Linked DNA regions of Lepisosteus oculatus. The protein of the gene in region 1 interacts with the protein of each later gene in a biochemical or structural test. Links are inferred from orthologs where the notes say so. Each region holds a gene or a part of one and is shown in the gene's direction. Other genes may lie near its edges. The genes, in order: snta1, kcna4, frmpd4 and mitogen-activated protein kinase 12-like.

Region 1 (7,881 bases):
TCTCTGAAGCTCTGGGGGAGTTTCAAATTAATCACCAGACCATCCCAACTGTCCACTGTCTTCAGGGAGCATATATATGTGTGTGGATATGGATGTATCTCGCAAGGGAAGTAATCAAAATCCCCTTCTTTTTTCCTCTCTAATTAATTCCTAAATCTTTTCATACTATTATGCTTTATCCAGATGGAAAACATTTCAGTTTTTTTAAGCCACCTGCCATATTTGCAATGCAATGATCTTGAATGGCAAAACAGAGATAGACAAAGGCTCTGAAATTTAGATTTAATTTAAACAGCAGGAAATGATAGCTCCAATGGTTACTAATTTATTTTTCTAGTTAGTAAATTATTGTGTTTCAGAAGACAACTCTGAGAGAATACAATGTGAAACATACCAAAGAACAAATAATTCCAGTTAAAAGAAAAGTCAGAATGAGAGATACACCTAAAATGTTATATTATTAGTGATGCTAATCTGTCCACCTACAAGTAATTTATTAGTATAATTACTGTTGTAACTGATTTATACACGTGTTTTCAATGGAGGTAAAGATTTTATTTCCAGTTTATTCGTTTACAAAAAAGGAATTATTTACAAGTTGTATAAAACATAAATTAAATACTGTTTGCAGAGGTTATCAGTCTAACTTCTTAAGAACAACTTAATAATAACTCTTTTGTCGTATTATGAAAAATGTGCTCAATTAGCTATTAGGTTTAGTCGGTGTCTTCTGTTTGTTGCTGATCATAACTTTCTTTTTCATTTTCTTTGAAAATGTATTTCATATCTTTGTATAGGACTGAATTGTAAATCAGCGTAACAATAGCGACACCTCCTGATTTTTTTATGGAGAACCAGTCTATTGGTTCTGTCAAACAAACGAACTGCCCTGTAACTGAACAGGTGAGACCACTATGGTCGTGCTTTTCTTCAATTTAAAATCCACGTAAATTAATTTATGTTTTTAGTTAATGAGGGAAAAATTATGAAATTATATAGGGTTTTTTGTAATTATAACAGGAAAACAGTTCGTAGCAGTGCCAAACTTCAGTTTCTCGGGTAAAACAAGACCAAATGAATTAAACGGGTGCCATGGTGATGAACCCAGAAAAATGTTAAAAACAGAAAATTCCTAACTAAACCACGAATACTAAACCAATCCAGAATTGACAAACAATTCTACTACTCTATTCTTTGTTTGGTATGACCGAATAATGAAGTTTCCATGAAAGGCTGAAAACAGCAAGAAACAGAAAAACAAGTTTCTTATTTTGATAAGCGACGACACCTGAAGACTCCAAAGTGTATTTAAAACATTTTAATTCCAACAAGACAAGAACAACCCAATATATTTGTCACCGAATCAAAAATTTAATTTAACAATAACAGCATCTCACTGAACTGATTCAGACACATCAGTGTGATTCATAATTCTTCACACCCATTGTTAAAACATGTCCCATCAAGAGTTGTTACCACCTGATCACACAGTATTGCGAAAGCTGTTTTGTTGACGCTGAAACCAAAATAAATTTTCATTACATATATCAAATATAAAACGAAAATATATATCGCAGGCAGGACTCTTCGTAAATGTAAAAGTAATAAAATAAAAGCATGTTGTTCCTTGTTCTATAACCAATAACAATAACAACGATAGAAACGGTGATCATGAAGCACTGTCTGTTGTGACGGCATTTTTTAAAAGTGTGATTACATTGCGATACTGAAATACTTCCACGAGGGGGAAATAGATATTCAAAGAGCTATCGCAAAATGCATTCAACCCTCCTTATAATTTACTCCTTCAACGTGAAACATTCGCCGAGGCGGACAGTCCTGGTCCTGGTCCTGGATGGTTTTCTAGGTCTCCTCAAAGCTGCACTCAAACTAGAGCTGGGAGAAGCTGTTAAATTGATTAATTCAGCAATGAATTGATCGAGGTAGTTAAGAGCTGAATTGTAACGAAAACCAGCAGATACACCACCCCTCCAGGCTGTCTAACTTTGAATTGCTGGGATGTACTGTTTGATAAATTGTATGTAACATGAACTGACATGTTGCAAGAAGTAATTGCACTTTATTAGACATTATTCACAAAATCTTTATGGATTCTCTTTGGTATCGAAATAGAGTGTATTACAACAGCAGTTCTTTTATTAATTTAGTTTTGATTAGTTTGATTGTATTGGTATGTTCATCTGTTCACTTCAGTCAGGAATGTCCAGAGGTGATCGTTTAGAGATACAGGGTGTTGATGTTTTCACAAATGACCTACTTATGTGGTAAAATAAAATGTTTCATGTTCTTACAAGTGTATGAGAAAGTTCATAAGGGCCGAGTTGTCAGTTGAACCCATTGTCCCCAGTCACTTTACATGTGAGCGGGATTTCAAGAGTTCTCTGAAACTGAAATAAATTAACATCTGAATTGAGAAGTAAACCCTTAGTAAATTGATATTGCTGCTTGATTGCTGCCCTTGGCCTGACAATAAAATAATTTTACATGCAATAAAAATAATAAAAAAACAACCAGAATATTTTAAAGATTTTATTTAAATCTTATTTGCAGACACTGTTACTAACAAGATGCCATTTACACTGTCTTTATACTTTTGTTTTCATTTGCACAGTATGTTGAATACATAAGTAATCAGATGTGTACTGTTCCTTTTACGGATGAACGTTTCAGTAGCCAGTGCAAATTAGGATTCCACTTTAAACAAGAAACTTACAGCTTTTAAAAAAAAGGATACTTACTGGAGTACTGGATACTTATTTATGTTCATATTGTATTGTTTTTGTCCCCTGTGGTAATTAAGCAGCCGTTTCTCTTCAGTAAAGATTAAGTGCTCAGTCCAAACAACAATTTAATTCAGGTTCATTGTGGTGCCAGTTGGTAATGCTTGGTAATGATGACTGACAAAACCTTCTGGATTGGCTTGCCATGACCAAAGCTGGCTACCCCTTAGCTATTCTACTGTATGTAAATGTACTCTGTTTCCAAAAGAGACTGTCCACTTCATTTTCAGCAGACAGTGCGCCTCCTGTTGAAAGATGATATACAACCTGTCAGGCTCATCCTATAAAGAGAGAAAGGAAATCCTAGCGACTAAGTATTCCATATATGGTCCAGGCGTTCCTGCTATTTCACCTGCTGTCTAGTGCCAGATGCACTTCAATGCTCCTTTAGGTTTTGCACTACTGACTCCTGCTATGGTCTGTCCTTCACTCCTGTCTTCCCCACACAGGACGTTCTCCCCCGAGTGTTCAGTCCTCAGGAATCTGCAGCTCCTTGGCTTGCCTGGCATTTTGCATGGCCTTTCAGACCGCCCAAGCTGACACCCCCAGTTACAGGGCACTGCGATAGCTCCAGAAGTGCTTGTAGGTCAAGGGGTCAACCTCCTGCAGGTAGAGGCACATTGGCCACAGGGTCAGGTAACTCTTTATCATGATTTGCTTTGTGTTTCTGCTGACGCTCACAGCACTGCATGAAATGGCTAACGTCGGTTTGCAAGGTTCTGCAGGCCACACAGCGATTCAGCGACTTTCTGTTGCCCAAACCTAGCTGCCTTTTGACAGAAGAATGCCAAGACAATGTTACCTGTATGGATGACAGCAAGCCTTTACCACCTGTTTCACATTTTGCTAGTTGACCTTAAGTAACTTGAAGCCACCACACAACTGGAAAAACTCTGCCCAATGGACTGATGTCTGACCTATTTGTGGAGGGGAACTTAAGCCATCCCACCTAAAGATATTTATGGCAGTAAAGATAATGTAAATGTCAAAATCGATGTTAATTAAAATCCCTTCTAATGAAACACTAACAAGCTCAGTATATAGACACTGCTAAATTAGTAGCTGCAGAGATAACAACTACAAACACTTTATAACATAAATATTCATAATGGCTCCACTCCTCTCATGCTAAAAAATATATTTCTGGAGCCACCCCTGGTTTTTAGATATGGCCTTCATGAGCACAGTATTATATTTATGTACCTTTACATGCAGCAGCTGAGATGATTCGTTTTCAGTCAGTAGCACAAGTGTAAAACTCTCATTTCGAGCTTAAGTACTGAACAAGTGGTAAATTAATTACTGCTTAATTTCAGAGTGCTTTGTAAAATGGGAATGAGCGACTTTGGTAAATGATCTGACTGGCCTTGAGCACAATTTTCTCTCTCCAGAGCAACACATCCACGTGATAGTGAAAAAGATCACAGACACAGACGATAAATGTGTGCATTATGAAAGTTGTTTCACAGATATTTTTATATTGTAAATTAATATGCTTACAGTATGTAGTACAATTCATGAAAAATAAGTTCATATAATGTTCTGCAATTATTTTCCATTGGAGTGGGAACAGTGCATACGTAGGGCATTTTGCTGCCTTTTCTCTTCTTTTGTTAGGTCTGTTAATACTGCTACTGCTACTACTACTACTGCTACTGATAATAATAATAATAATAATAATAATAATAATAATAATAATAACAATAATAATAATAATAATAATAATAATAATAATAATAATAATAATAATAATAATAATAATTGCACTACAATCCTTGGAATCTCACTTCGAGAAGCCATCTTCAGAGAAAAAAACAGTAATCAGTTTTATTCGGCCATTAAACATCTCTGAACTTTTTCTAAAAGCGCCTACTTCACTGGATTGTCACTATTATCAAAGCAACTTCTAATGCGTAAAGCAGAAAAAGAGCTAAGCGCCGCGATTGCAAGAGACGGAGAGGGGAGGGTCCGTGGTGTTCCTCTCTCTTGGCATCTCCGATCATCACCCCCCACCCCCATCTCTGTACAGGACTGCCAACCCCGTACAGAGTGGAGTTATTCCAGGAATGTGTTGAACATGGCTGCCGGGATGAAGGCGCAGAAAACTGGACTGTTGGAGCTCCGAACCTCCGTGGATCGCTGGATCCGTGTGCTCGCCTGTCTCACGGAGGAAAGCCTGACGGTGAGTCCGGGAGAAGCTACCGTTGAGCCTGTGAACCCCAGCCTGAGCCCAAATCCCCTGGGAGCAGTGAACGGAGATTCAACCAGCGTCGGGTCGAGCTCTCCAGTCCCCGAGTCGATCACCAACGTCAAACGCACGGTGCGAGTCACCAAGCAGGATGTTGGGGGTCTGGGAATCAGCATTAAAGGTAAAAAAACAGAATTTGCTCACACTTTCATTGCTTTGTAACTTAAGACATAAAAGTTTACTTGAAGTTAAACTTCTTTCATTGAAGTTTGTTTTCAAGTCGACAGCTCTTGACAGCCTTCGTTGTGTACATGTAGTTACATGTACAAACTAAATTATGATTATCATTAATCTCCCGAATAAGACAACTGGACGTATGTGTGATATCACATTATCGACTGTTATCAGGTGAAATTCCTTGGGCTCAAGTGAGTGTTGTTTTTCCGACAAATATACAGAACGAAGAAGAAAACCTCGGTCAAAATGTTTGCCCTTCATAACTGCATTTTGTAAGATGACTGGCATTGCATTTGTTGGGCTGTTGAACACGTGAAACAAGTGTTCTGTGACAGCAGTTTCCATTGCTGAAGTTGTTCAGGAGAATATCCCAGTTTAGGAAAACAGGCAACATTAGTTCTAAAACGGCGTGTGAATTGTACAGTACAGCGGATTACTTTGTGCCTTAACTTGTGATTAACATTGCTATAGTTTTACTGCTTAAATATTGTATACAGTTCAGGGAAGATCCTGAAGAGAAACAGTCTGATAATTATTTTACTAAGTGATGATTTAAGCGAGAATTGTAACGTATCGGTTATGACAAATTCATTAAAACAATTGTTTCTCTTAACTCATGTTTTCCTCGCGTGGAACAGAATGTTAGGATTTAATATTCAAATGATCTCAAAACTGCAAATCGAGCCATTCTCCAGATTAAGTGGTCAAAAATTAAGTTTAAAAATTGGTGAATGGAGTACTGAACAGTGAGTTTAAGACCAGTAAAGACGGCATTGTGGCAGGACAGGGCTGACCACTCTATGCGTAAGATAGCATCGAGTAGCCTTCTACTGACAGCAAACATTATAATTTATAATTAGGTTGTAAATATTTTAAGAAAGATTTGCCACAGTATCACAGTTCTATTATTTGATAATGATTGGTCACTTCTTATTGTGTCTGAATCAAAAAGGTACAGAGTTAAAAATAAACTCAGCTATGTGTCCTTTTAACTATGTGGGAAGAAATGAACAGCTTGATTTCAAACATAAAACTAGAAGTAGAAGTGCCACAATACAGTTTTAAATTAAATATAAGAGCATAAAAACATTTCAGCCTTTACAATTACCCATTTGGTAGTTATTAGCTACTTGATCTGTGAATTTCATCCACCTATTTCCTGAGAAGAAACAAGTGTATTGGCTTCCACAACATGGCTGGCAAGCTTGTTCCATACTCCCACAACTCTTTATGAAAAGAAGCGACTCTTGCCCTGAGTGGAGGAAATCACCCATATAATTCTTGGAAGACGCCAAGGTATCATCTTAGACAATGTGGCTGGTAGCTTGTTACTCCCACAAACCTATAGTATCTTTAATGTAATGATCTCCTAAAACACATCACACAACTATTAAAAGTTATTTTTGTTTAGAGAATGTGAAGTGAATTCTTGGCGGGACTGAAAAAATGTGACAAGCTGTTGAAAGAAATCTACACAGGCTGTAACCTTTCGGAATAGAAAGCTAAGTAGAATCACTGGATCTTAGGATAGTGTGAATTTTGTTTTCAGTAGTTGTTGTTTGCATGTGGAGGGGGGAAATTAGTTTGGAAACAGTACTTTTAAAGATTTCAGGTACTTGTTTGATTACTTTTCCCTTCTTATTAACTTTGTTTTCACTGATACGGGGTTTTACTGTCTGGTCCATCATCATTTGTTTCACAAATAGTTTTAGTTATATAGTAAGACAAGTCAAGTCAGATCAGTGATGAGAGGACAGACCGGCAAATCCTTAAACAGTTTGCAGAAGAATTTAGGAAGCTAAACAGACACTTTGGTTGTATAATCTCTTTAACTTTTCTGGTACAAAATTCAGTACCAACTTCAAAACTCTTATAATTTGTGGACGAATAAACACAGATAAATAAAATTGCAAGTTCTTTTGCAACAAAGTTCAGTACAAATCCTTGACATTTAAAAAAAGCAAAGAGGTGATGAAGTAATAATCCATCTATTTTCTAATCTTTTTTCCAATATAGAGACAGGGGGAGCTGGAGCCTACCCCAACAAGCAACAGGCACAAGGCAGGATACACCCTGGATGGGATGCTAGTCTAGCACAGGACACCACAGACACAAACACAGATACAAACACACACTCATTCCATGGTCAAACCTTCTAGGAGACAGTTAATCTATCAGTACTCTTTTGACTGCTGTAGGAATCCTGTTTCAGGACATACAAACTCCACACAGATAGCATGCCAGGAATTAAACCCAGGCACCCAGAGGTGGTAATCCCTGCCCATCATGCCACCCCTTAAAGTAGTAGTAGTACTACTACTACTACTACTACTAGTAGTGGTACTTGTAATAATAATAATTTTCATTAATGAAGATTCCAAAGTTCTTCACGTAAAAGTGCGGACCTAATTAATCCATTGTGGAAAGTTTTAGATTGCACAGCTCAAAGAAGAATTTAGCCAGGACTGTGGGATTAGCTTCCTTAATCTTTCAATAGTGCCTATGGATCCTTAATGATAAGGTCTTCTTTGAAGGACAGCACAGCATCCCAGTACAAGTCAAAGCCATGCAAGCAAGGCTCGTATTCTTCATTTTAAAAATACATTCAGTTTGCAGTTATTCCCTGTAGTCTTATTTTACTTTTCTGAATATGCA
Region 2 (8,151 bases), on another chromosome or scaffold:
AGCACAAGACAGGACACGGCTCTGCAAAACGTCCATGGGGCCATGAGGAAGAAGTGTGGGAAATGCATGGAGGAGCATACAGATCTTCAGGAACAGGGCAGGCAGGTGACATTGGAACATTTCGGTATAAACCACCTGACGGAGGCTGGACACCCTGATTCAACCTACAATAACCTGCTCAGGCAGACCAAGTGCTGTTAGAGTACATTAGAATCAAATGCATTGATTATACAAGGACCTGACACAGGTGTAGATCAGGATATGCCTTTGCTCCAGATTTACTCAATTCCTTGAGCACAGTGGAGTATTGATCCCTGATTACAGTGAAGAAGGAAAGCCATTGAGCAGAGTACAGTATTGATCATTGATTACAGTGAAGAAGGAAAGCCATTGAGCAGAGAACAGTATTGATCATTGATTACAGTGAATAAGGAAAGCCATTGAGCAGAGTAGACTATTGATCATTGATTACAGTGAAGAAGGGAAGTCATTGAGCAGAGTACAGTATTGATCAGAGTGACGCACACTACAGTAGTTGATGGGAACCTTTAATGACAGTTCAAGACTTTAAAAAGGAAAGTCAGATTTGTCTCAAGTGGTTGTGTTTGTCCCCATAGTTAAGAATGATCGTTTTTGTTGGCAAATGGAAATTAGAATCATGAAAAGAACAAAAGGAAGAGGAAGAGAGGAATGAAGGAGGAGAGAAATGAAGATGACATAATTCAAATCAGATTAAGAACTGCACGAAGGTGGAAATGGAAATTCTCTTACCTGCAGGATTCCCAGTCTCTCCTTAGAAACAGTGGACACCTCTTCCTTCAACTCTTTCTTATATACCCTATGGCTGATGAGTGTGTAACCCGGGGAGATTTAAAAGGGTGAAATATGATTTGTGTTAACTGATGGACAGAGTCCAGTTTTCAGAGAGTGGGGTCTGTTAATCCGCCAGTCAAAACAGTTTCGGTAAAAACCCACCAGGTCATAAAATCCACAGCAGCAGGAATCAGGGCTAGGACAAAAAACAGATGCCCAAGGTTGTATTTACCGTGTTTCCCAGAGCTGGGTGATTCCACTCCCACACAAGCTCAAAGCAGTCTTGCGTTTGTAACTTGGCAGATGACAGATAAGATCATTTGTCTTTGCAGCTGAGTTTAAGGGGCAGAGCATTAGAATATTAACAGTTTCAGCATTTTAATTCTACGTTTTATTTACAATGAACAAGATACTAAAAATAATCTAAAACGCAGGGCAAGTAGCAGACTGCAGAAATGGTGACGGTCAGTTTGGAGAGCATGAAACCAGGCAAAGCGTACAGTAAAAACAATTAGGATCACTAGGGGTGTTACATTTGTGAAAGATCCCAGGCCCATAGGTAAAAGATTGAACAAGGCTGTGAGTTCAAAGGCATCACAGAAACTGCCTGCAGGGCTGCTCTGCTGCAGGAGATCCAAGAAGGAGGCTTTTAGAACTAGAACGTAGCTCCAAAGATGAAGCAAGTACTTTTTACTTAACTGTGTACCTTAACGTTGAAAATATTTACCTTGACCACTACTGAGTTGATGTCAATGCACAACCCCAGTGCGGTGTGCTGTATTCTGCATTGTGTCAGAGACAGATTTCAGAAAGGTTGCAAACAACGGGAAGCTTTTTGACCTTTTTCTTGCTCATTTGTTTTCACAGCAGGTGATTGATTTGAAGACTCAGTCTGGCTCTCTCTTGAGAGCTGTCAGGTTCTCGACTTTAACGGGACCCTGCAGCTTGTTCCAGACTCCCCCAACCCTTTGTGGAAAGTGCCCGGTGCTCTCTCTGGTTTTAAGGCGCTCCCATGTGGTTTCCATGTGTGTCCTCTGGTCCATGTTTCTGTCACGTCCCACAATCGCCCTCGCAAATGCCATTACATTCCCAAACCCACTGCTTCATGCTCTTATTCCTGACTGAACCCATCCCATTCTCACAGGCACCAGATTCCACAGATTCTCACTCCTGGACCAGTTATCACACCACGTCCCTCCCCTGTCACTATTTTAATTTGGCTCACGCGCCAAACCTTGCTCACTATTGAAAAGCCTCTTCTAGAGATTTCTAGTGCGTGTTATTTTCTTGTTGGATTTCTAGTTTTGTTTTACTTAACTTTTCCCTTTCGATCTCGTCTCTTGTATTTCGCCTTTTGGGTTGTCTTCTCCGTTTGCCCCAGCACTTTCTGGTTAATGGATCTCCAGCTTCTCCTGTCGACCTTGCCCTCTGGATTACGATTTTGGATTGTTTGCCGCTGCATCCCGCAGAATTCCCGGCTACGCACAGGATGCTCGGACAACTACCTGCCGGATCCCTGACAGTTTCATTGTTGAGGTTGGAGAAGTCCACTGGGTTGACTGGGGCTGGCTGTGCCTTTGAAGATTTAATGCTGGAAGGCTCTTAATTTTGAAACTTGAACTGGCAAACATCCGATCAGGCAACGAGAGAATCCCTCATTTAAATCAAACTGTTGCTTGTGGGAGACATGGTAGTGCAGTGGTTGGCCTTGCTACCTGCCAGTGCTAGAGTCCTGGGTTCAATTCCAGACCTGGGATGATGTTTGCTTGGCGTCTGCATGTTGTCCCTGTGTTTTTCCTCCCATAGGCCAAAGACACAGTGAATTGGCTTCTGGGAAAATGGCCCTGGTATGAGCATGTAGGTTTGTGATTGGCCGGGGTGCACCCCGCCTTGTGCCGGGGGCTTGCTGGGATAGACTCTGGCTTCCCCTGCAACCCTGAACTGGAAGCTGCAGTTAGTGTCATGATCGCAAACCCCTCCTCTTAAGGGCGCTCCAGCCCTTCCTCGTTTGCCTCATTCCCCGCACCTATGCCTTGTTCCAGCCCCCTTTTCAGTTCCCCCTTAAAAGCCAGACGCTGACGCTAATCAGGGCTCTGCACTGGTTTCCGCATCATGCGAGCCCGGTTTCCTGCATGCGCCTGGCTTTACGTTTCTATTCCCGTTCCCGTTCCCCCTGCCGGTCCTGACCCGGTTCTGGGTTTGAATCTTTTGTCTCGGATGGATCACCTGGCCTCGGACTCGTCCCTGGATCGTTTGCCTGGGCCACACCTCCCCCGACCACCAGCACTCCAAGGACACCCCCCCCTGTTCTCATCCCTGTCTCCTGCATGCCTTTTTCCTCATGTTTTCTCACTCCACCCCAGATAGTGTCGTCTGCATAGGGTCCAGAAAGAACTGTCCCTGACAGTCAGCAGATGGGCGGAGTGCGATCAGAATGACTTTGTGACTTAGACCTCGACACCGCTTCGGTACCGGCAGCTGGACAAAAAAGCCGGAAGAAGGTATTGTTCAGCGATACATTCATGCAATCCTCCGGCGTCCAGATGATGTTGGGCCTGCAAGCATTTATTTTTAAACTGCAGTTTAGAATTCCCCCCAAAAACTGATAATATCGAGAATGTTCAGGTTTACATCCTCTGAACAAGGGTTAACGGTATTTTTCTCCCCTAACCGAATATTATTATAAAGAACGTCTTTGCAATGTTGAAAAAGTAAGGCAAGATCGAAATCGCTAAACAAGAAGTTAACAGGAACTGGCAGCTTTCACATCCCGTTCCTATTCTGTTACTATTTTTCTCGCCCAGAGCGATGCATTCACAGTGCAGTGATCATGCGCATTAGTGTTTCAGAGCTCTTTGCACAAACCATTGATGGCTTTTTCTCAATGCAAATTCATCCGGAGAGACAAAAGTAAATAACAACTCTCATTAAAATTTAATAAGGCATACCACCCAGCTACTTAACAGAATGCGTAACTACATGTAATTAAAAAGGAGGGCACATATTCAACAAATGACCTTTAATAAAATGAGAGGAGCTCTTTTGCTTGTTTGCCTGATGGCATTAGGGAGGTTTAATTGATACTGGATTGTCGCCTGTGGATGAGTTAAAAAAAAAGAGGACGGTTGGTGTGAGTAGGGCGACCTCTTGTGGCACGATGGAGTTACTGCAAGAGTACATTTCTTGTTGACACGTGATGGCGGGGTCTTCGCTTGCCTGAGTAGAATCAGTCCATAGCTAATCAACATAGCTATAGACTAAATGAGCAATCAACATATTTTGCAGGTGCAGTCGCCTGCATAAGCGATATCACCAGTGACAGCTGGTGAACACCGAGACATCTCAAAAATGATGATTACACGACAGAAAGGCGTGGCTTTAAATGGGACAATACGACCGCAGAGCTATCTCCTTATAGTCCAGGGCGGGCTGGAGCGGGCTCAAACTATATGCATAACACGAATGTAATTGCTTACACTGTAAGTTACAGTACCGCTTCAGCAAAGCCGTTAGTTTTAAAGCGTCTGCTGTATTAGAATTCACCTGCGGCTCGGCGGCGTTATTGCACGTCAAGAGACACTGCTTGTTCTACAGAGCCCAGAGGTCACCACTGCGCATGTACTACAGCGAGTACAGCGCGCTGGTGCCGCTCAGTTCAGTGACTCAGCCACAAGTTTAACTCCGCGTTCATGCGGGCGCTGTTTGCACAAACACCGCTGCACGCTGGGGCTCTGCTTTAAAGCGGTACACGCAGCCCAAATACTCGCCACGGACACAGTCGGCGTTCCTGCTGTTCGTGTTCATATAAATATCACAAGGATCCAACTATAGCCCCCTGATGAGGCACGCTTATATGTACAGTACCACACGGACATACTCCAACGCGTCACCCAAGGGCGCCGAAGATGCTCCTTCGAGACGCCTGGGATACAGGAGTTCGGCTTCTCCGCCAGGAATAGTATTTCTTTGCCACCGTGTTGTTTTTCCAACTTCGATATCACTCGGTTCCTATACACGCTTCATGCTACACTCATATGCAAACGAAACGTTGAATTGGTCATTAGCTATAAGTTAGCACTGGAATCTAAACAAAACAGTTTCTGTCGGTACTAACCGGGAATATACAGTAGACTATAGGCGCAAAACGTCACATGACTAGATTACTTCATGGGGGATATTATCATCATAAACACGTTTAAGCACACACCAGAGTTCGGTGCATAAATAAACCAGCAGTAACAGGTTCCGACACGAATGTATTCAATCTGCTCCCCGAGCTGCCGTGTGTCCAGTCCGCACGACCGTCGCGCGGCCGGTAAGAGAAAAAGTTCCCGAGCGCGCGGCGGCTGCAGTGCCTCGCTCCGGCCGCTGAGGGAGGATCGCAGCCCGGGCTGCGCGAGGGAGAGGCACCCCGCGCGGCGGGACCCGCTGCTCCTCTGCGCGGCACGCGCGCACGCGACGGGGGCGACAGGGGCCGCCGAATGACTTGGGGAGGGGGGGGGGTAGGCGCGTGTCACAGGCGGCTAATGTTATTTTAATCGACGCGACCGATGAACTTTAATTATCGTCGTCGCCCGTTTTGTTTTGTGGTTTTTTTTAGATATAGAGATGTGCGGATCCGCACAGGCTGAACGTCTAGCTTTTAAATTCTTAACACCTGTATATGTGTGTGTGTATATATATATACACCGTGTGTGTGTGTGTGTTGCCGGGTAAGGCGAAGCCGGGAGGAAATGTGTATTTTTTGTCATTGAGAGGTGTTGACAAAGTAGTGATTGATACTGTTGCACGGCCACGGGAACAGCTGCGATTTCCACAGCGCGCTGAGCGAACTACGGCTGCTCACACCTCGCTACAGTCACAGCCGTCTCCCGACACGCGTTACGCAGGGATCTATTGTGTTATCTTTTCCCCTTTTTTTTGCAACACCGTGAGCATACGGGAGGAGAGGAGAGGGGGGGCTCAGACACTGTTTTCATTTTGACTGCTGACTTTAACATCACTTGCCGTGCGCTGCCTACTGTGGGGAGACGCGTCAAACTGCCGGGGAAAAAAAAGCACCGTGATCTCCCGGGCGCGCCAAACCTGCAGCTGGGAAGGTGAATTCGTCTCCAGCTCATTTCTCTTCCATATTCCGTTTCCTGGCTGGAGGAAAGAGGGATGTGAGGACCTGAATATCAGGGCATCATAAAAAAAAAAAACAACTATCCCAACTATTGAAGATCACATCGGGCGGAGAGAGAGGAATAGGATCTGCGCCTGATTTAATTTTCAAAACGTAAGTACAGGTCTGAATCGTACTGGGGTGTTTGGGGACAGAGGGGGATTGTGTTGTATTATGTGCACGTAGGGTTTTCGTCTACCTGTATTTAGAGAAAGACTGAACTGGGCTAGACTGTATTGCAAGCATCCATCACGCAGTGAGACTCCTGTTGCAGGGGCTGTTTTGTTTAAGGTAGTGCAAGCGAAATGATAATATAGTGCCCGAGGGAGGGGAAAAACGGGTATAGATTCACCTGCCTTTAAGGTGCAGGCAGGTTTAGGATTTAGGAACTGTGTGCGTTGGCTCTCTAAGGTCGTGGAGGAACACGACGATCGGATGAATCAAGATTTTCTCGTTTCGCTTTTTTTTGTTGGTGTTTCCTCAGCCGTTGTAATCATCATCATCAAGTCGAAGACGTGCGAGGAGGACGGACGGCTGATTGCATTGCGCTTCACGTCTGCAGAAATAACATAACCTCCCACCCACCCCCCCCCCAGAGAAAAAAAAATCAAGACCACCACCACCACCACCAACAACAACACAAAGATCAAGGGTGGGGGGGGCGGGGGTCAAAAGGCGGCTTTAATTGCGCACATCTGGATATCAGGAGAGTTTGTGACGAGCGTGACAAGTGGAAAAGCGACAGTCCTCCCGAGATGGGAAGCCGGCGGAATCTGTCGTCTGGGAGCATCTTCGCCATCCTCGGCGCCGGACACACCGCCGGACAGGTGCAAACAGCCACAGCTTAGGGCGGGGGGCGGGCAGATCGTTTTGTGACCCCTCCGTCGTGGGCACTGCAAAAGTGTTTCCACCGTGCGAGGTGAGGATGGCGCGACTGAAGAGATAAGAAAAACAATAATAGTCATTCACCCCTCCTTTCCTAACGCACCGTCTCCCGAGCGGACCCCTGGGGCCCGACCCGACCCGCACCCTTCCCCCCAGTTTCGCGGAAGGAGTTCGGGACTAGGATGTTGCTTGGCCGGCACCCGTGGTCTCCAACAACGGACATGTCAGGCAAGAGGAACTAGGGCCCGAGTCGTGCTGGAGGCGCGGACGAACAGGTGCGAGGGTCTGACAATGTACTGAGCCGCCCCCTCCCTCTACCGCCACTTTCACTTCAGGTCAAAGCTGCGGGCCCTTGTTTTTGTTGTTGTTCTTGTGTTCTGACCTCGGAGAAAACTGAAACCGGGACACACACACACACACCTCCCCCCCGGACTCAACCCCCTCAAAAAATAAAAACACCGGCACGCCGCTCGCCCCGCCAACATGGAGGTTGCCATGGTGAGCGCGGAAAGCGGCGGGTGCAACAGCCACCTGCCGTACGGATACGCCCAGGCGCGCGCCCGGGAGCGCGAGCGGGAGCGCGAGAGGGAGAGGCAGGCGCACACGCGCGCCGCCGCGGCCGCCGCCGCCGCCGCCGCCGCTGCTGAAGCCGCCTCGGGAGGAGGAGGAGGAGGAGGAGGGGGAGGAGGGGGATCCGTGAGCCACCACCACCACCACCTTCACCACAACAACAACCACCACAACCAGCAGCCGCATCCGTCTCGCACCGCCTCCTCCTCCCAGGCCGGCAGCAGTGGCGGCGGCGCCGCCTCGCGCCCCTCCTCCTCCTCCTCCCAGCAGCAGCAGCCCCACGAGCCGCCGCCGCCAGCTGTCAAAGGCAAGCAGCGGCGGCGGCGCGCGGCGCAGTGGAGACGCGAGCGTGCGGCCGGCTTTCGCCACTCGGAGCTGGCGCTGCTCGGGTCCGAGGACGACATGATGAGGGAGGAGGAGGAGGAGGAGGAGGAGGAGGGGGACGAGGACGAGGAGGAGGAAGGCGAGGGGGGAGAAGGGGACGGCGGCGGCGGCGGCGGCGGAGGGGGAGAGCCGAGAGAGCGGCGGAAAAGTTTCCTGTGGAGCCTGGGCGACGAGGAGACGGTGTCCCTCCCGGACCGGCGTCCCCAGCAGGGCTACGACCACGTCTACAGCGAGTACGGCTGCTGCGAGCGGGTTGTCATCAACGTGTCGGGGCTGAAGTTCGAGACGCAGCTCAAGACCCTGACCCAGTTCCCCGAGACCCTCCTGGGGGACCC
Region 3 (7,857 bases), on another chromosome or scaffold:
TAAGAGGAATATACCATGGGAGTGCAATGGTAAAATTAGCTAGGACTTAATAAAGATTTCTTGAATAAAAATAGCTCTATATGTATACCTCACTCTTGGGTTACAACCAAAATGCCTAATTGCCCAATGTAGGTTACAGGTTAAGATTTGGGATTCATGACTAAAGGTTTCAAAAACGCCCTGATGTTTGGGCTATAATTGTGCAAAACAAGAAGTGCAAAACATCCTGTTGTAACTCAATTGACAGGTGGGCTTTCCTTTGCTGCTTCAGTTTCTGATAAATATAACTCTGCCCTTAAGCAACCCTGGCAACTCCCAGTAGATGTGCAATGCAACCAATAAAAGGCAACAGTTATTAAACAGTTGAAATTTAATGAGGAAATTCAAGGCAGAATTCAGCATTTTATGCCCATTAATTTTGGTTAGAATACAAGAGCAGGTTATTATATTATATTTATAATATATATTATATTTAGCAAGTTTTTCTTGTAGACCATTTTATCTAGCCATAAATTCTAATGACATCTTCAAGTATATAACACTGGAGGAGCTGAAGACAAGACAAAAGTGTTGAGAGGGCACTTATTTCCACACTATGACACCTTTAGTTCTTGTAGGTCCCTTGTTGGCCACAGACATCCTTAATGGACAAGGTCACCCCTTTAATTTCATCAGCACAGTCCCACTGACACTCATTCCCAGCTCAACATGACTTAACATTATAATGGATGAATGACACAGCCTTTGTTTAGACTTGGATTGTTCAAAAAATAAGGCTTGGTGCTCTCTGTTTACTCCAGCTGTGTTTTTTAATTAATAAACCGCTGAGGCTCTATTTTTTTTTTCAGCACAGCTTAAGGCAAACTAGACATCTGACCACAACAATTGATTCCTGAATGTGTGGCATATGACTGGTTACATAAATCATTTGTTTCTAATAATGGACCAATTCCCTATGTTCTTTCCTGCTTTTCCTGAAGTTCCAGTCTGGTGGAACTGATGTACCTCCCAGCCAGCTTCTTAGTGCTAAGATACAATACTTATACAGCACTAATATGTCAATCCACCCCCTGAAAGTTTTCCGTGGTACTTTCTATGGGTGTAAATGGGTGGAGTTTTCTAGTGAAGGTTTTAAGACTGGATCTAGAACTTGCTGCAATCAAGATTCAAGCCAGACAGTCCTGTGCTGCACGATTGACTTAGTAGAACTTACTGAATATTTTAACTAGTTGAAATTCCATTTCAGATGATTTTACACTACTTTGAGAAATAAAATGCAATTTTGCTCCTTTTAAATTCCATCTTTCTCTGAGAGGTTAAAAACCTGAATCCCTTTAGTCTTGAACAGAGAAGACTACAAGGGGACTATCTTCAAAGACTCTTATAGTATAAGGTTTACCCTGTGGACTGCTTCAAAATCAACAGTGAAACACAAATCAGAAGAAGCAAATGGAAACTAAGGGGAAGTGTTTTTTAACGCTGATAACAGGAGGCACTGGGTGGTGGGACTATGGAGCAAGGTACCCAGCCATGTTGTCAAAGCCAATGTGATTGCTTCTTTTAAGAAACAGCTGTATAAAATCCTTGAATAATTGAAATATTAACAACAGATTAATTTAGATGTCTGAATGGCTACAGTACATCCCATTTGCAGGTAGCCAAAATAACTTTCCTTACAGATAATGTAGATGAGTTCACATGCTTAATCTTATTATAACAGGTACTTTAGTTAAATTTGTGTTGAATTTCTGTGATAGCTTAGCCAAGGACATTGTAGCTAACCAGAGAGGTTGACTTTGAGGTGTCTGTGAATAAACCTATTATTTGAAGGTGGTTTCTTTGTCTTGCACAAATATGCACCTATGTGCTGCCTACATCTTCTCAAACTCTTGTCATTCTAGATTCTAGTAGATTTCATTCCTACTATCTCCCTACTGGCAACTATCAGTCTCTGCCTCTCTCTTCTCTCTTTCACTTATCTCATTAAAGTAACCCTGAGCTTTTCCATCCTCATCCTTTACACAATGTCTGTTTCTCCACTGTGTTCCCCCACCTGACTCTGCAGGGTTGGAAAGAATTATCAATTATTATTGATGAGCATTTTCAACCTGCTGTGTAATGCTCTCCTAACCCTAACTCTAAGACCACCCAGTCTTGAGGGTCACACCTGAAGACGGATCAACAGACAAAACATTGTGTTTCTTATTTATGTTTTTCATATCTCACATCTCTGAATGTGAGATTGTGTGCTATAAATAGTGTAGTAACAAACAAATAAGTTCTGGAACCCAAGATGACATTTACATAACTGAGTTTATTGTATGCAAGGAAAAATAAGACCAAAGTATTGTTCAAAATATAGGTACAAAACTTCCAGTTTATATAGCAAATTTCAGTCGCTTCTGATGCTATGTTTGGACATTCCCAAGACCCTGAACACTTTTGATGGTCGGTTTTATCTTTCCTTAGTTAGGGGGTCTTTATCTTGCACTTGGAATTTCATATCAATTAACTCCCATTCCTGCCATAACTCAAAGGTTCCTAAGTATTGAATGTCTGGTGTTACAAGAAGTCTTTGTGCAGAAAGAAATCAGTTAACCCCTTTTTCACATCTTATATCTTTCTTCATTAGTCATAGTCATATTTTGTTTTACCAAAGGTCTTATCGCACTCTGTTTAAGAGGATATACTTTTTTTAATATAAGCTTTAAAATATACATGTTACTGTACATTTAGTTAGTGCAGCAGGTCAATTGTGCTTCATGTGAGTACAGTTTCTATACAGATTGATAACCTAATACAAGCCCAGAACATTATTTTACCTGGTATGCTTTCACATAGAAAACTAATTCAATATAATTGATAAAGCCACAATAACCATTCTGGCCTTATGCTTTAAGCCAGGCTACATCTAAATGTAACTCCTGAAACTCAGAAATACGAAAGACAGATGTATGCACTAAAGAGCTGGTGTTGTCAGGCTCCAGTGTCGATCTGAGATGCCTAATCTTGGGCATCACCCAGACAAAAAGTAAACCCCTGGCAAACAGGCAAATCTGCAGAACAAACAGACTGATCAGTCCAGGGAAACTCCAAAGCGTCATCACTTAATGTATTAATTTATAGATTGAACCTTATAACTCTGGAATTATTATTACTCTAAAGTAAACTTATTACTCTAAAACTCACAGAAATGTTGCAGAGTGAGCTTGATAGAAGAGAGAAAACAATCCTGCAGCTAGCATAAGTTCACTACGGGGTATGACCAAAAAGACAGAAACAGACAAACATTCTTAACTGTGTGATAACCTGCTGATCGGCACATGTTAAAACTAACAAGATACAGTAGGACTGATTCCTGCACAATTTCATCTCATCCAGTGGTTTATAGTCATACAACTGTACAGTTGGCAGAAGTTATTTAATCTACTTATTGCACTGATAAACTGAACCAAACAATGTATTTGCAATTTGAACCTTCCTGGAGTCACAAAACGATTTCACTCAAGATACTGCAGTTTGATTGCCCCTCAGGATACTTGATAAAGAAAAAAAAATTGAAGGAAAATGGTAGCGGACCAGGTATTCAATTGCTTTTTCAGTTTTGAAGGTTAACTGTAAAATGATCACCTTTGATAGATTAAGCACTGTAGTTCAAATTGTATATTGTTTATCCTAATCTTAGCCACAAAACCTTAATTAAAAACCCAAACAAACAAGTAATTATATTTTATTATCAGATGGTTTTAAATTTGTTATATGAAAATCCAGTCCATCTGAAGAAACCTTCTGGGTTGCATTTTTCATAAAATACAATTAAGTGTGCAATTTTCAATGACTGCTCCCTTTGCTGTTTAGCTGTGAACATTATATTATAATGATAACAGGAACACGTAATGAAACTCATGATAAAAATACGGGACCTTTTATATTTTAATTAAACCCCTAGTGCCCTAGGCAATCCACTCCATGGAGCTGTGTCAGCTGGAAATCCAGTCAATTTAACTTCAGTTATGTAATCTGTGTTCATTACACAAAGAAAACCTGCCCTACCTTCTCTGTAAAAGGGCAGTCAAATTCATTGTAGTTGTGGGAGTCGTGGAAATCTGTAAAAACTGCTCATGCAGTTTGCTGAATAAACACAGAGTGTCTCGGCTTCATCTCTGTACAGTAACATGGGGTGTAGTCCACTGTTGGCGTTCCTGCCATGATGATGTAATTCTATTTTAAGGATTATTAACCTAACAAACATGAAACCTAAACATGTTATGATGTTGGCTGTGTAGTTTGTATGCTTATACATACAGTACATTTATTATTTTCAAAGTAAATGTTCTTATTAGAGAGAGTCAGTAGAAGTATGAGTTATCCTTACAATTATATTTTCAGTGTTGTTAGTCTTCAACAACCAAAAGACTAATTTAGAAAGACTCAGTGCTTGTTAAACTGTAATGGTTTTCATGCAGGACTCATCTCCTCTAATAAGGAATATACCCTGTAAACTCAAAGTAACTTTTTGCACATTAGAAACACATCCTATAATCATAAAAGTGTTTATGAGCAATTTACTTATTATACTCAATTGAATAGGGGTGAGATGGGGTGCAGGCAACTGGAGTAAATGCAGTTTTGCCATTTTCATTTTGTTCCATGTCGTAAGCTTTTAGTGCACTGGCTGTACCAGGCACTAGAGGACAGCTGTTCGTACATTGATCCCTCTCTTGCCTGATGATGCAGTGGCCTGGAATTTTATCTTGTTTCATTACTGAAGCAGAAGAAACTCGTTTGCTCCCCCCCCCAGGGCAACAGCCACTGACTCTTCCCGGCAGCAGCCCTATGTGTTAATGCTCTTCCAGAGTTTATCCAGAGAAACGCAGATGCACTGGCTAAATCCAGAGCAAGAGCTGCACAGAGAATTCTAAGCCAAAGCCAGAGGAAGAAGTGGCAAAAAAAAAAAAACATTTCCTTCCAGGGAACCGAGGAGTGACAGTCGTAATTAAGTCAAGACTTTGTGAGTGAATCTGTCACGTAATGGAGCTTTGCAGCAATCAACTGGGAGTCTTCACAGTCATTCAGTGAGTACTACATTGCAGTGACACTTTTGGGTCTCGGTTGTAAACAGCTCTTTGATGTAGCTGTTGTCCCTGGAATTCTAATGAAAAACCTATTCCAAAAATGCTAACATTGCCATTGATGCATGGAAATTTAATAAATAGGAATCTATATGTCTTTTGTTCATTTAATTCATTTGTTCCTGAATTGGCAGTAATCTGTAGTGCTGTGACAATACAAAAATAGCAACTCCTTTTAAGTGCTTTCCACAGGTTCTTAAAAATAAAAACTGAATTAAATGTCCCTGGAATCTTCAAAATGTTGAAAGCTACCTGTGATGCTAAATTAGTTAAAGTTTTAAAGGAAGTGTATGTTTTTAATGTGTTGTATGCATGTTGTCTATTTTGTATGACAGTTTTCTTCAACACATACCTGTATACTATGAGAATGTTTTCTGATACATATCTGATTATTGCTGTGAAAGTATCTTAGAAATTAAAGTGAACACCATTTTAGAAAACAGTACCTCTAGCAACTAAAAATAAGCTATTTTTTTTCCTTTAATTCATTGGAAGAGTGCCAAATTGACTTAGATTCTGTCTGTGAAATTTGTTTTTCAAGGAACTTTTAAAGTCAACGGCTTTTGAAGTTATTCCCACTGTGAAAAGTTGGCATAAGCAGCTAGCAATCACTTTAGCATCTGTACAGCATCTGACTCTCAACATTTCTTCCTGAGGTGGCTCTGCAGGCTTTCAAATTTCAGCTTCATACTGTCACACATTTTTTAAACAAAACTGCTCATCCTGACTTTTATCACTCTCTGTCCAATTTAAAATTCCAAGACTTTTTGTAAAAGCTCATTTGATACACAGCAGTTTGATTCTCAGAAAGTTTTTTGTTTTATTTTTTTTAATAAAAAACAATGGGTTTTTATTCAATGCTGTTATGCTAAAATATTATAACAGTATTGGATATAAGAAAATATGTAATTTCTGTATTTCTTGGCATTCTCTGTATTGAATGTCAAGATGTTCTGACTACATTTCAATGAATAGAGGGGTGCTTAAAAGCATTAAAACACTTTTTTTTTCTGTGTGTATGTGATTTGGGACTGGGATTGGAATTAATACGATTGCAGATTTCTTTTCAGACCTGTTTAACAAACTTATTGCACATCATAATAATGAACCTAATGTATTCATGCAGAAAATGACTTTTGCTGTAAGATCTTATTTTCTGAACAGGCCTTTGTCCTTCCCCTGTGAGTAAAGATTCCCGCACTTTCAGACTGTACATAAAATTTATTTTGTATATAAATTTGCTGTGTAAAAAAAAATAAATACACACTCTCCTCTAAGGCTGTAGATCTAGAAACAAATTTGTTGTTTTGTATTTACTGTGCAACTAAGCCTTCTGTGAAATATGCAGCCTTTCAGGACAGCAATAACCAAGCCATGCCTGCTGAGAGGGAAGAAGTGAAATACTAATAGCTTCTGTCACTTTGTGTGCTGTGCAGAACACTACTGGCAGAAAATATTGATAACATACAAAAACGATTATGAAATGTTAAAATTAAAATTACTTTTCATAATTGTCATTTGCTTGGTACATTCCAGAAACAAATACGTTTTTTTTAAATGTTGCAGTTGTTTAATTTAGATGTAATTCTCACAGGAATTCATTAAGTACAATTCAGTTCCTGTTTTGTCTATTATTGTATTCCCTTTCACTCAACCCAGGATAATGGGTGTTCATGTTCTGTATCTTATATTATATTGGTTATCAGAATGAATACCATATTATATATCACATCACTATTATTATTATTATAATAACTGATACAGGTGATGCTATTATTATTGATACAACTACTATTACATCAACAATACCTTTTCATCAAAAGAGAAATGGAAAATACCATCTCTGGATGTTCTTATTTTGTATAAAATAAAGTTGATTATTGAACTGTTAATAAATTAAAACTTTTATAATTTGTTTAAGATTTCCATATACTGTATTTGGAAGAAATGACATGTCTGCCAATAATAACAGTTGTAACCAGGAAACAGTTTCATGCCAGGTGAAGCATTTTAAATAATACCTTGCACGTATACTGTATAAGCCAAAGATCTCAAAGAACCCTAGTTATAAAAGTGGATCTACTTCTACACCACATACAGTATGGGTGAATTTTAGGAAGGCCAGGATATAGACGTCCAAAGTGGAATTTAGAGAGGAGACATAGGTGACAAACACCTTCCTACTGCACAGTGTCTCTGGTCACTGGGGCACTGGTTTGGAAATTCTGGTCCAGTAGGCAGAGAGCCACCTTCTCTTCCTCCATCGCCACTTCCAGCAGTAGCTCATTATTCCCTAGAGATCTCCCATTCCAGTTCTTCCAAGACCCAGCCTTGCTTAGTTACTCAGATCTGACATTATCAGACTACAAGGTGGTAACACTCTTGTTGCATAACTGTAGCAAACACATGAATTTATAAGCATTAAATAACACACCACACACTCTCATTCATGAGAAAATGTCCTTTGATTAACCCATAATATAAACACCATATGTATGGGATTTCTAGTAAATATATAGTAAAAAACAAAAAAAATCATTTGAATTTACAGTGAATTTCTTAGAAAGTTTAATGTGAAACCCTTGTAACTAAAAACAAAATAACTACACACCTTATGTTACTGCTGAAAATGAAAAAATCAGATCCATTTAGTACGCGTTATGGTGCTTCAGATATGTTATTGTAATGTCTCAGATGTTACATGTCAGCATTCTATTCAAATGTA
Region 4 (7,086 bases), on another chromosome or scaffold:
GTTCCTTTGAGACGCTTTGCCATTTTTAGTTGTTGCTCGTCTGTGTGGCTTTCTCACTTTGTGACGTGTTGAGGTTTCCTCTTCAACAAGTGAAATGCAGCTCAACAGGATTCAGATCAGGAGCCCCGTCCAAGTCAAGAGTTTCCACTCCTCCCTGCTGATCTCCGTGGTCAAGAGCGTGCTGCGTCTGGAGTCCTTGTAGTCATGTGCAGGGTGAACAGTCGTCCAATGAGATCAGAAGCAGTTTTTGGACGTGGGCAGACGAGATGTTTCTGTAGACTTCAGAACTGATTCCGATTCAGCGAGCCAGCCCTGGAGTCCTGCCCGAGCCGTGACACCACCACCACCATCATGCTTCAAAGTGAGGTGATGTGCTGAGGAGCTCACAGTTCCTCTCTTGCTCCACACTTTGATACAGGTTTATCTTCATCTCGTCTGTCCATAAAACTCTAGTTCCAGTACGGTTGTGGCTCATCTTTCTACTTCTTTGCGAATTCTGGTCTGGCCTCGCTGTTTTTAGCGGCGATGAGAGGTTTGCTTCTGGCAGTGTAGTGCGCAGTGAATTAAGATGCCTGCATCCCTGCTCTCTAGAGATTGACTTATGGGGTTTTACTTTATAGCCCTAAGGTTTCTTCTTCCTTGGATGACCTGGTCTCCGCTGATTGCTTACTCCTCTAGGAGTAATTCAAGACATTTCATACTGTTGATTTCGCAATGCCCGCTCTCTTTAGAGTGCTTGCCACATGTGTCGTGGGTGTTGGTGTTGTAGTGGTGTTCTATCTGGGATTTGTACTGTTTCTTGGCAGATTTTATGCCAGCTCTTAATTTTTTCCTAGCCCCTCTCAGTTCTTCCTCATTGCCAGATTTGAAGGCTGCATCACTGGCTTTGAGCAGGGAGCGGATCTCAGTGTTCATCCAAGGTTTTTGATTCAGGAGTTTGCGTATCTTTTTAACGCTCACCACATCATCAGCACATTTGCTGATGTAGCTAGTGGCTGCTGATGCATACATGTCAATATTGGTGTGGGATCCATGGGAGGCTGCATCTTTGAACACACTCCAGTCTGTGCACTCGAAACAGTCCCGAAGCATTGATTCTGCCTCTTTGGTCCATGTTTTTACAGTTATAACTGGAGCCTTGGTGCGTTTGAGAAGTCGTCTGTAGGCTGGGAGTAGGAACAGGGAGATGTGGTCAGATTGTCCAAGAGGGGGGTGAGGTACTGCTTTGTAAGCACCGGGTACATTAGTATAAACAAGGTCAAGTGTGTTGTTTCCCCTGGTGGGGCAGTCAACGTGTTGGTTGTAGATGGAATTTTCTGATCTCATCTTCACTGTTGCTTGAGGTGACAACTCCCTGGTCTTCATCTTGGTTTAACTCAAGGGGCAGGTCCAAAAAGTAAACCCGGAAGACTGGAACCAAGGATATACATTGACAGCTCCACTGCGTTTTAACAAGTAGAACGGAAACATCCATCAGGCATTTGTCCCAGTACTTACACTTGTCTGAGATGGGGAGTTTTAACATAATAAATGCCATTGTTCCAACATGGCTAAACCTGTATGCTAAATAATACTCTGAAACAAAATTGGAAACTCTATACTTTTGCCTCATATTAACCTCTTGATCTGAAAATCAAATTGCCATTAGCATACATTTCATTTGACTGTGCCAATAATCATGTTTTCACTGCTGGTCCAAGCCTGGCGGTGAAATTGTAAGATCTGAGACAAAGTATAGTGTTCAGTCCACCATCAAAAAGGATATTATAGCCTTAGAAAGAGTTGGCAACAAGAGGAGCAACAATAATGTGTCCTTGTGACACGGTATGGCTGTATATGGGCAGATTAAAGGAGCTGCAGTTAATCTCTTCAATCCAGAACGGATCTAAACCAAGCATACAAGATCCTAAGGGGTACAGAGTCCAGGGTACTGTTTCACACTCAATAGGGCAACAAGGAACAAGGGATTTACAGTCGGGATTCTAAAAGGGAATTAATATAGGACAGAGAGGAGGAAACACTTCTTCACACAGAGTTGTGAACAGTCAGGTGAATCAGGCCCAACTGCTGGGCTCCTCCAAAAAAGATCTGGCATTCATTTTAGATTCACTTAACCACCGAACTACCACATGAGCAAGATGGGCCGAGTGCCCTCCACCTCTCACTTGCTGTCTTTTCTTTGTGTGGATCCCAGGCGTTTTCAGACATTTCAGCCTTGTGCAACACTGTTGTAAAAAGTTGTGACTGAGGGTTATCAATACAGTACATCCTTGGTATGATGAGCTTCGCTTTAACGGACCGAAACAGTCTGTAAAATCAGAACTACTGGACTTTCCCCGTAATGACGATGAAATGCACAAATAGTTAAATATTACATGGGTTCGAGATTCAGGAATAGCAATGGTGCCCTATAGGGGTAGGTCCACTGCTTATAATGGGTTTGTGTTTTGTATGTTTTAGCAAATTTGATGCAGTATGTTTATGACACATGAAATAAAGAGTTTGTGTATTCATAAGAGGCACAGGTATATTTTTTATTGACTGTGCTTATTACAATGATAAAAAATAATTCAAAAGAGCAAGTAAACATATAGTGTATATATATAATGATGGAAAAAAACGCAACATTTTCTGGAATGAGAATACTATAGCTATAGGTTATGTACTTTCACAAAACGTTGTCAATTTGTTTTAAGCCCTCTGACCAGCAATACAGCTTGTGCAGTGAGGCATTGCAGCTTGCCAATCACACGAAAGCTCGTTAGGTGCAGTTTTACCCAGCGAGGTCCAGGTGGAACAATGCCTGATCAGGTCACCTTTAAAAAGGCCTTAATTCAAAGCTTAGGTCACTGCAAGAAAAAGGGCAGACTTAGTCAGTTTTCTGTGCATTCCATAATGGCTCGAATGTCACCAGAAGCAAGGGAGAGGGCCATTGGCATGCTGCAGGCAGGCATGTCATGTGCCAGCGTTGCCAGACACTATGGAGTGAGTCGCTCCACTGTGTCCCGACTGCAGAGAAGGTTTCAGCAGACCGGCAGGACAGATGACCATCCAAGATCCAGTCGCCCTCGAGTGACCACACCAGAGCAGGACCGACACATCAGACTGGTCCATCTGAGAGATCGTTTCAGATCTGCCACCCGTACTGCTGCTGAAAGTGCCGGCAGACCCAGTGCCCACATCAGTGACAGGACAGTGAGGCTCCATGCTGCTGGCCTAAGAGCAAGGCGGCCTGTCAGAGGCCCTCTGCTCACACAATTTCTCTCCCTGGCCAGCTGTGCGGTGTGGCTGCTGTGTGTTACCCAGGGCTGGATGATCTGGGTTCTCTCCTTTATGTAAGGTGCTTTGGGATTCCTCATGGAGAAAAGAAGGCTTTGGTGTTATCCTGGGGGAGTAATTAGTGAGGGCGCCAGAGCGATCTGTATCCACTGCTCTGCTTAAGGTGTACCCATAATCTATGTTCTTGTACAGTTAGTAACTACACAAGTTTACAGATAAGTTAAAAAAAAAACAGGTGGATCAGTAAACCCTGTAGAGGTCAAAAAAGAAAATGCGAAAGCTTTAGTTTTGAAATCCTGTAACTTGGAAAAGGCCTGGCTGGTGGGGTTATGGTTGTAATATAGGCGAGAGCAGCGCGTTGCCCAATGTACACGACGCCAAGACATCAAACTCTACAAATAAAATGAGAGAAGCGAAGTTTGAAGTCTGTGTTGTTGATACTTCCTTTTCATCTTGCGCAATGCGGAGGAGCACAAAAAAGGCAACTAAACAACGTTAGGATTTATAGTAAAAGGTTAAGTGGTGTCTTAGGTGGCTGGAGGTAAGGAGTCAGATAACGCAAGGAGGAAGCAGGTTTCTGGTTTAAAGTCCGTGGATGCGCTAATTGATTCAGGTGGGTTGTGGCCTTTGGAACTGAATAGCTTGTACTACATACCAAGAGCTTGAGGATGATGTGTGTACTAGCCTCGTTTCAGTACTTTCAAGGCGTGTGCGTGTGAGGAATGTTTCTCATTCCGGCTCCAGGGTGAGTTCCCGTCAGACGGTGCGGATCACACCTGCCCTCTTACCGGGGGCGAGGGAAAAAGAAACACGAGTCTGTTTGGGGCAACAGACCTGTGCGCCGCGGAGGCGCAGAGCCGAGCGCGCAATACAGGAAGAGCGTCTCTGAGAGGAGGGGATCGTGGAGACGGGAGGGCGACCAGATAGACAAACACACACACGCACACGCACACGCCGCACTCGCTGACTGAGTGACGGGGGAAGAGAGAGAGGGGCGCTGCGCTCCGGAGGCTGCGAGCGACAGAGAGAGAGAGAGAGCGCATCGGAGGGACCGGCGTGCGGTCAAGCTCGGCTTCTTCACCGGTCGGAGAATGACGACCCGGACCAGACCCGGATACTACCGGCAGGACGTGAACAAGACGGTGTGGGAAGTGCCCGAGCGGTACCGGGAGCTGAAGCCCGTGGGCACGGGGGCGTACGGCACTGTGTGGTGAGGCTCGCCTGGGGTTCATAGAAACACATCTGTCGCCAGTTTGTCCCGCGGGGCGGCCGCCCACGGAGTTTGTGGAGTTGTCTCGCCGGTTTCGGGGACGCGCAGACACAGGAGAAGGAGGGCGCCGAGTCTGAATTAGCAAGGGAACAATAGAAAGCCCGAGCCGGTCTATTTGCTCAGCCCGCAATGTATATTTGCGTTCTTACTTCCTCCTTTCGCTCTCTCTCATCTCTCCGGCAGCCTCTCGGCTGCCTCCCCTGCCTAGCAGCTCACATCTGAGCGAAGCGACCGTGCAGGTCCGGGTGTTTCAGACGCCCGCACCGAGCCACGAAAGCACGGTCTATTTCAGCCTCTCCGTGTCTGTGCAGAGCACAGGCAGAAGTTTGTACAGTCGTGCCCGAGTGGACGGTGGAAAACCAGTTGTCTTCCGGGTTAGGAAATGAACGCTAGCTGCCGAGTGTCCGTCTGGCACTCCCCTGCTCCTCTCTGTCAGGACTTGCAAGCGGAGGAGGAGGTGTGGTTAATAACTTGGCCCGGTGGAGGCAGGGTGTCCTTAAACGTCTCCCTTTCGGCTCAGTGGAAGGGAGGGTAAAAAAAACACGAGTGCACTTTTACAAGCCCCCGAGCGTCGTTCACCCACCACGCGGAGCTATAAAAGCACTCGGAAGTAGGACAAGACCACAAGGGGCTGCGAAATTTCCTGAAGCAACCCGTTTTCAAACTGCGGCGTCGCAGCAATGCGCTCGACGATCTGATCGGTCAAACACCGCCGGTTCCCGGCAACGCCAGGCCGGTGACGTCACCCGCCCTGCCCGCAGGAAAGGTCATTCACACATCGCTTATCTGTCGCACCTTCGCTCAGGTTGGGAGAATCAACAGGTGTGAATCAACTACTTTCTGGGGGTCAAAAGTAGTTAACAAGGAGTTCTTGTGAAGTTCCTACTGGTAAGAACAAGAGTGCGGTATCCCCACCATACATAACCAGATAGTATAGGTTCATTAGAGCTCTGTAAGTTTTACGAGTTTTAATAACATTTTCGAGGCCTTCGTTGGTGTTCTGTTTCCAGAGCGTTAAGTCTGCGTGCCCTCAGCTGCTTAAAACAATAATTATAATAATAATAATTGCTTACACTTATATAGCGCTTTTCTGGACACTCCACTCAAAGCGCTTTACAGGTAATGGGGGCTCCCCTCCACCACCACCAGTGTGCAGCCCCACCTGGATGATGTGACGGCAGCCATAGTGCTCCAGTACACTCCCCACACATCAGTTATTAATGGGGGTGGAGAGCAGAGTGATGAAGCCAGTTCAGAGAGGGGGATTAATGGGGCTGTGTTATTAATCTCTGACCTGTTATTAATCCCTGGCTCACTCGGCGCGGAGTAGTTGCCAAAGCACAGTGTTTCGGCCGTGGAGCCGCCCCCGGGCTCCGCGTCTGGAAGGAGGTGTTCCTTCTCCTTCCCGCTTGTCCGCGCCAACGGCCGTGCGCTGCTCCTCCGCCGCCGGCGCGCGCCGAGACAGCGGTTCCTGGCCCGGATACCTCCGCTGCCCTGCACTGTGGGTGTCTCACGGGCCTGTTCTCGCCCTCCCGCGGGCCGCCGGGTGTGTGACGGTCCCTCTGCGGCTCTGCCCCTTGCAGCTCGGCCGGGGACCGGCGGACCGGGACGCGCGTGGCCATCAAGAAGCTGTACCGGCCCTTCCAGTCCGAGCTCTTCGCCAAGCGGGCCTACAGGGAGCTGAAGCTGCTCAAGCACATGAAGCACGACAACGTGAGTACGGCTCTCTCCGAGCCTCCCGTTTTCATCCACCTCAGGGCTGCAAGGGGGCCGGAGCCTATCCCAGCAAGCAGTGGGCACAAGGCAGGGTACTCCCAGCCCATCGCAGGACACGCACAGCCCAAACACGCTCTCACACCAGGGCCAGTTGTCCCAGAAGCCACTTAACCTACTAGTATATTTTTGTCCACACGGACAGCACCCCAGGTATTGAACCAGGAGCCCGGTACTGTGAGGCAGAAATACTTACCCACGGCAGTAGCACCATGCCACCCATGGAGAAATATAGTCTTCCCTATGAACTGGCAAGGAGAGGGAAGATCTCATTGGTGACCCTGCTTGCTCTGTGCTCCTGTCCTGTGTTTTTCCTCCACTCTCTTCAGCCATGCCTTTGGAAGAACTCACTGCTTGATTAGCCAGTCCTGGAGAGCTGTGGGTAATGAAAAGTGGGTGGTGACTGGAAGGGTCTCTTCACCCTAGCCAGTGGGTAGGGGGGCAGGTGTGATGTGGTGTTACTCCCCGTGCTGAGCGGGACAGTGACTCTTCTCTCTGTCTCCCCACAGGTGATTGGCCTGCTGGATGTGTTCACTCCAGACATCTCTCTGGACAGATTCCAGGACTTGTGAGTGTCCCCAGGTTCCCACAGTGAGATTTGTCCACGGGTCTTCAGGCCGTTGGAAAGCTTACAGATCTTTCTTGAAAGAAAACAGGGTGTTGGTTTCAACAACGTGGCTGTGTAGATTGTTCCATACTCCCACAACTCTTTGCATAAAGAAGTGTCTCCTGTTCTGCAGTGTGTACTCCCCAAGGATTTCGGG

What was found.
Region 2: the proteins of snta1 (region 1) and kcna4 interact in a test that uses a peptide from one of them, tested with the Homo sapiens proteins (2 studies listed by BioGRID and IntAct). The link is inferred for Lepisosteus oculatus from reciprocal best matches to the Homo sapiens genes SNTA1 and KCNA4.
Region 3: the proteins of snta1 (region 1) and frmpd4 interact in a test that uses a peptide from one of them, tested with the Homo sapiens proteins (2 studies listed by IntAct, with this or other methods). The link is inferred for Lepisosteus oculatus from reciprocal best matches to the Homo sapiens genes SNTA1 and FRMPD4.
Region 4: of the proteins of snta1 (region 1) and mitogen-activated protein kinase 12-like, one has a biochemical effect on the other in vitro, tested with the Homo sapiens proteins (2 studies listed by BioGRID and IntAct, with this or other methods). The link is inferred for Lepisosteus oculatus from reciprocal best matches to the Homo sapiens genes SNTA1 and MAPK12.

What each region holds. Positions count from the first base shown.
Region 1 is NC_090711.1:15,463,505-15,471,385, forward strand, and holds the start of snta1 (alpha-1-syntrophin), read left to right. Parts: upstream 1-4,806; 5' UTR 4,807-4,878; coding exon 4,879-5,170; intron 5,171-7,881. UniProt on the Homo sapiens protein: Adapter protein that binds to and probably organizes the subcellular localization of a variety of membrane proteins. May link various receptors to the actin cytoskeleton and the extracellular matrix via the dystrophin glycoprotein complex.
Region 2 is NC_090716.1:3,645,422-3,653,572, reverse strand, and holds the start of kcna4 (potassium voltage-gated channel subfamily A member 2), read left to right. Parts: upstream 1-4,956; 5' UTR 4,957-6,091; intron 6,092-6,113; exon of another isoform or gene 6,114-6,461; 5' UTR 6,462-7,345; coding exon 7,346-8,151. UniProt on the Homo sapiens protein: Voltage-gated potassium channel that mediates transmembrane potassium transport in excitable membranes. Forms tetrameric potassium-selective channels through which potassium ions pass in accordance with their electrochemical gradient.
Region 3 is NC_090708.1:21,686,251-21,694,107, forward strand, and holds the start of frmpd4 (FERM and PDZ domain-containing protein 4), read left to right. Parts: upstream 1-4,845; 5' UTR 4,846-5,031; coding exon 5,032-5,075; intron 5,076-7,857. UniProt on the Homo sapiens protein: Positive regulator of dendritic spine morphogenesis and density. Required for the maintenance of excitatory synaptic transmission. Binds phosphatidylinositol 4,5-bisphosphate.
Region 4 is NC_090702.1:48,041,003-48,048,088, forward strand, and holds the start of mitogen-activated protein kinase 12-like, read left to right. Parts: upstream 1-3,949; 5' UTR 3,950-4,370; coding exon 4,371-4,489; intron 4,490-6,132; coding exon 6,133-6,262; intron 6,263-6,831; coding exon 6,832-6,890; intron 6,891-7,086. UniProt on the Homo sapiens protein: Serine/threonine kinase which acts as an essential component of the MAP kinase signal transduction pathway.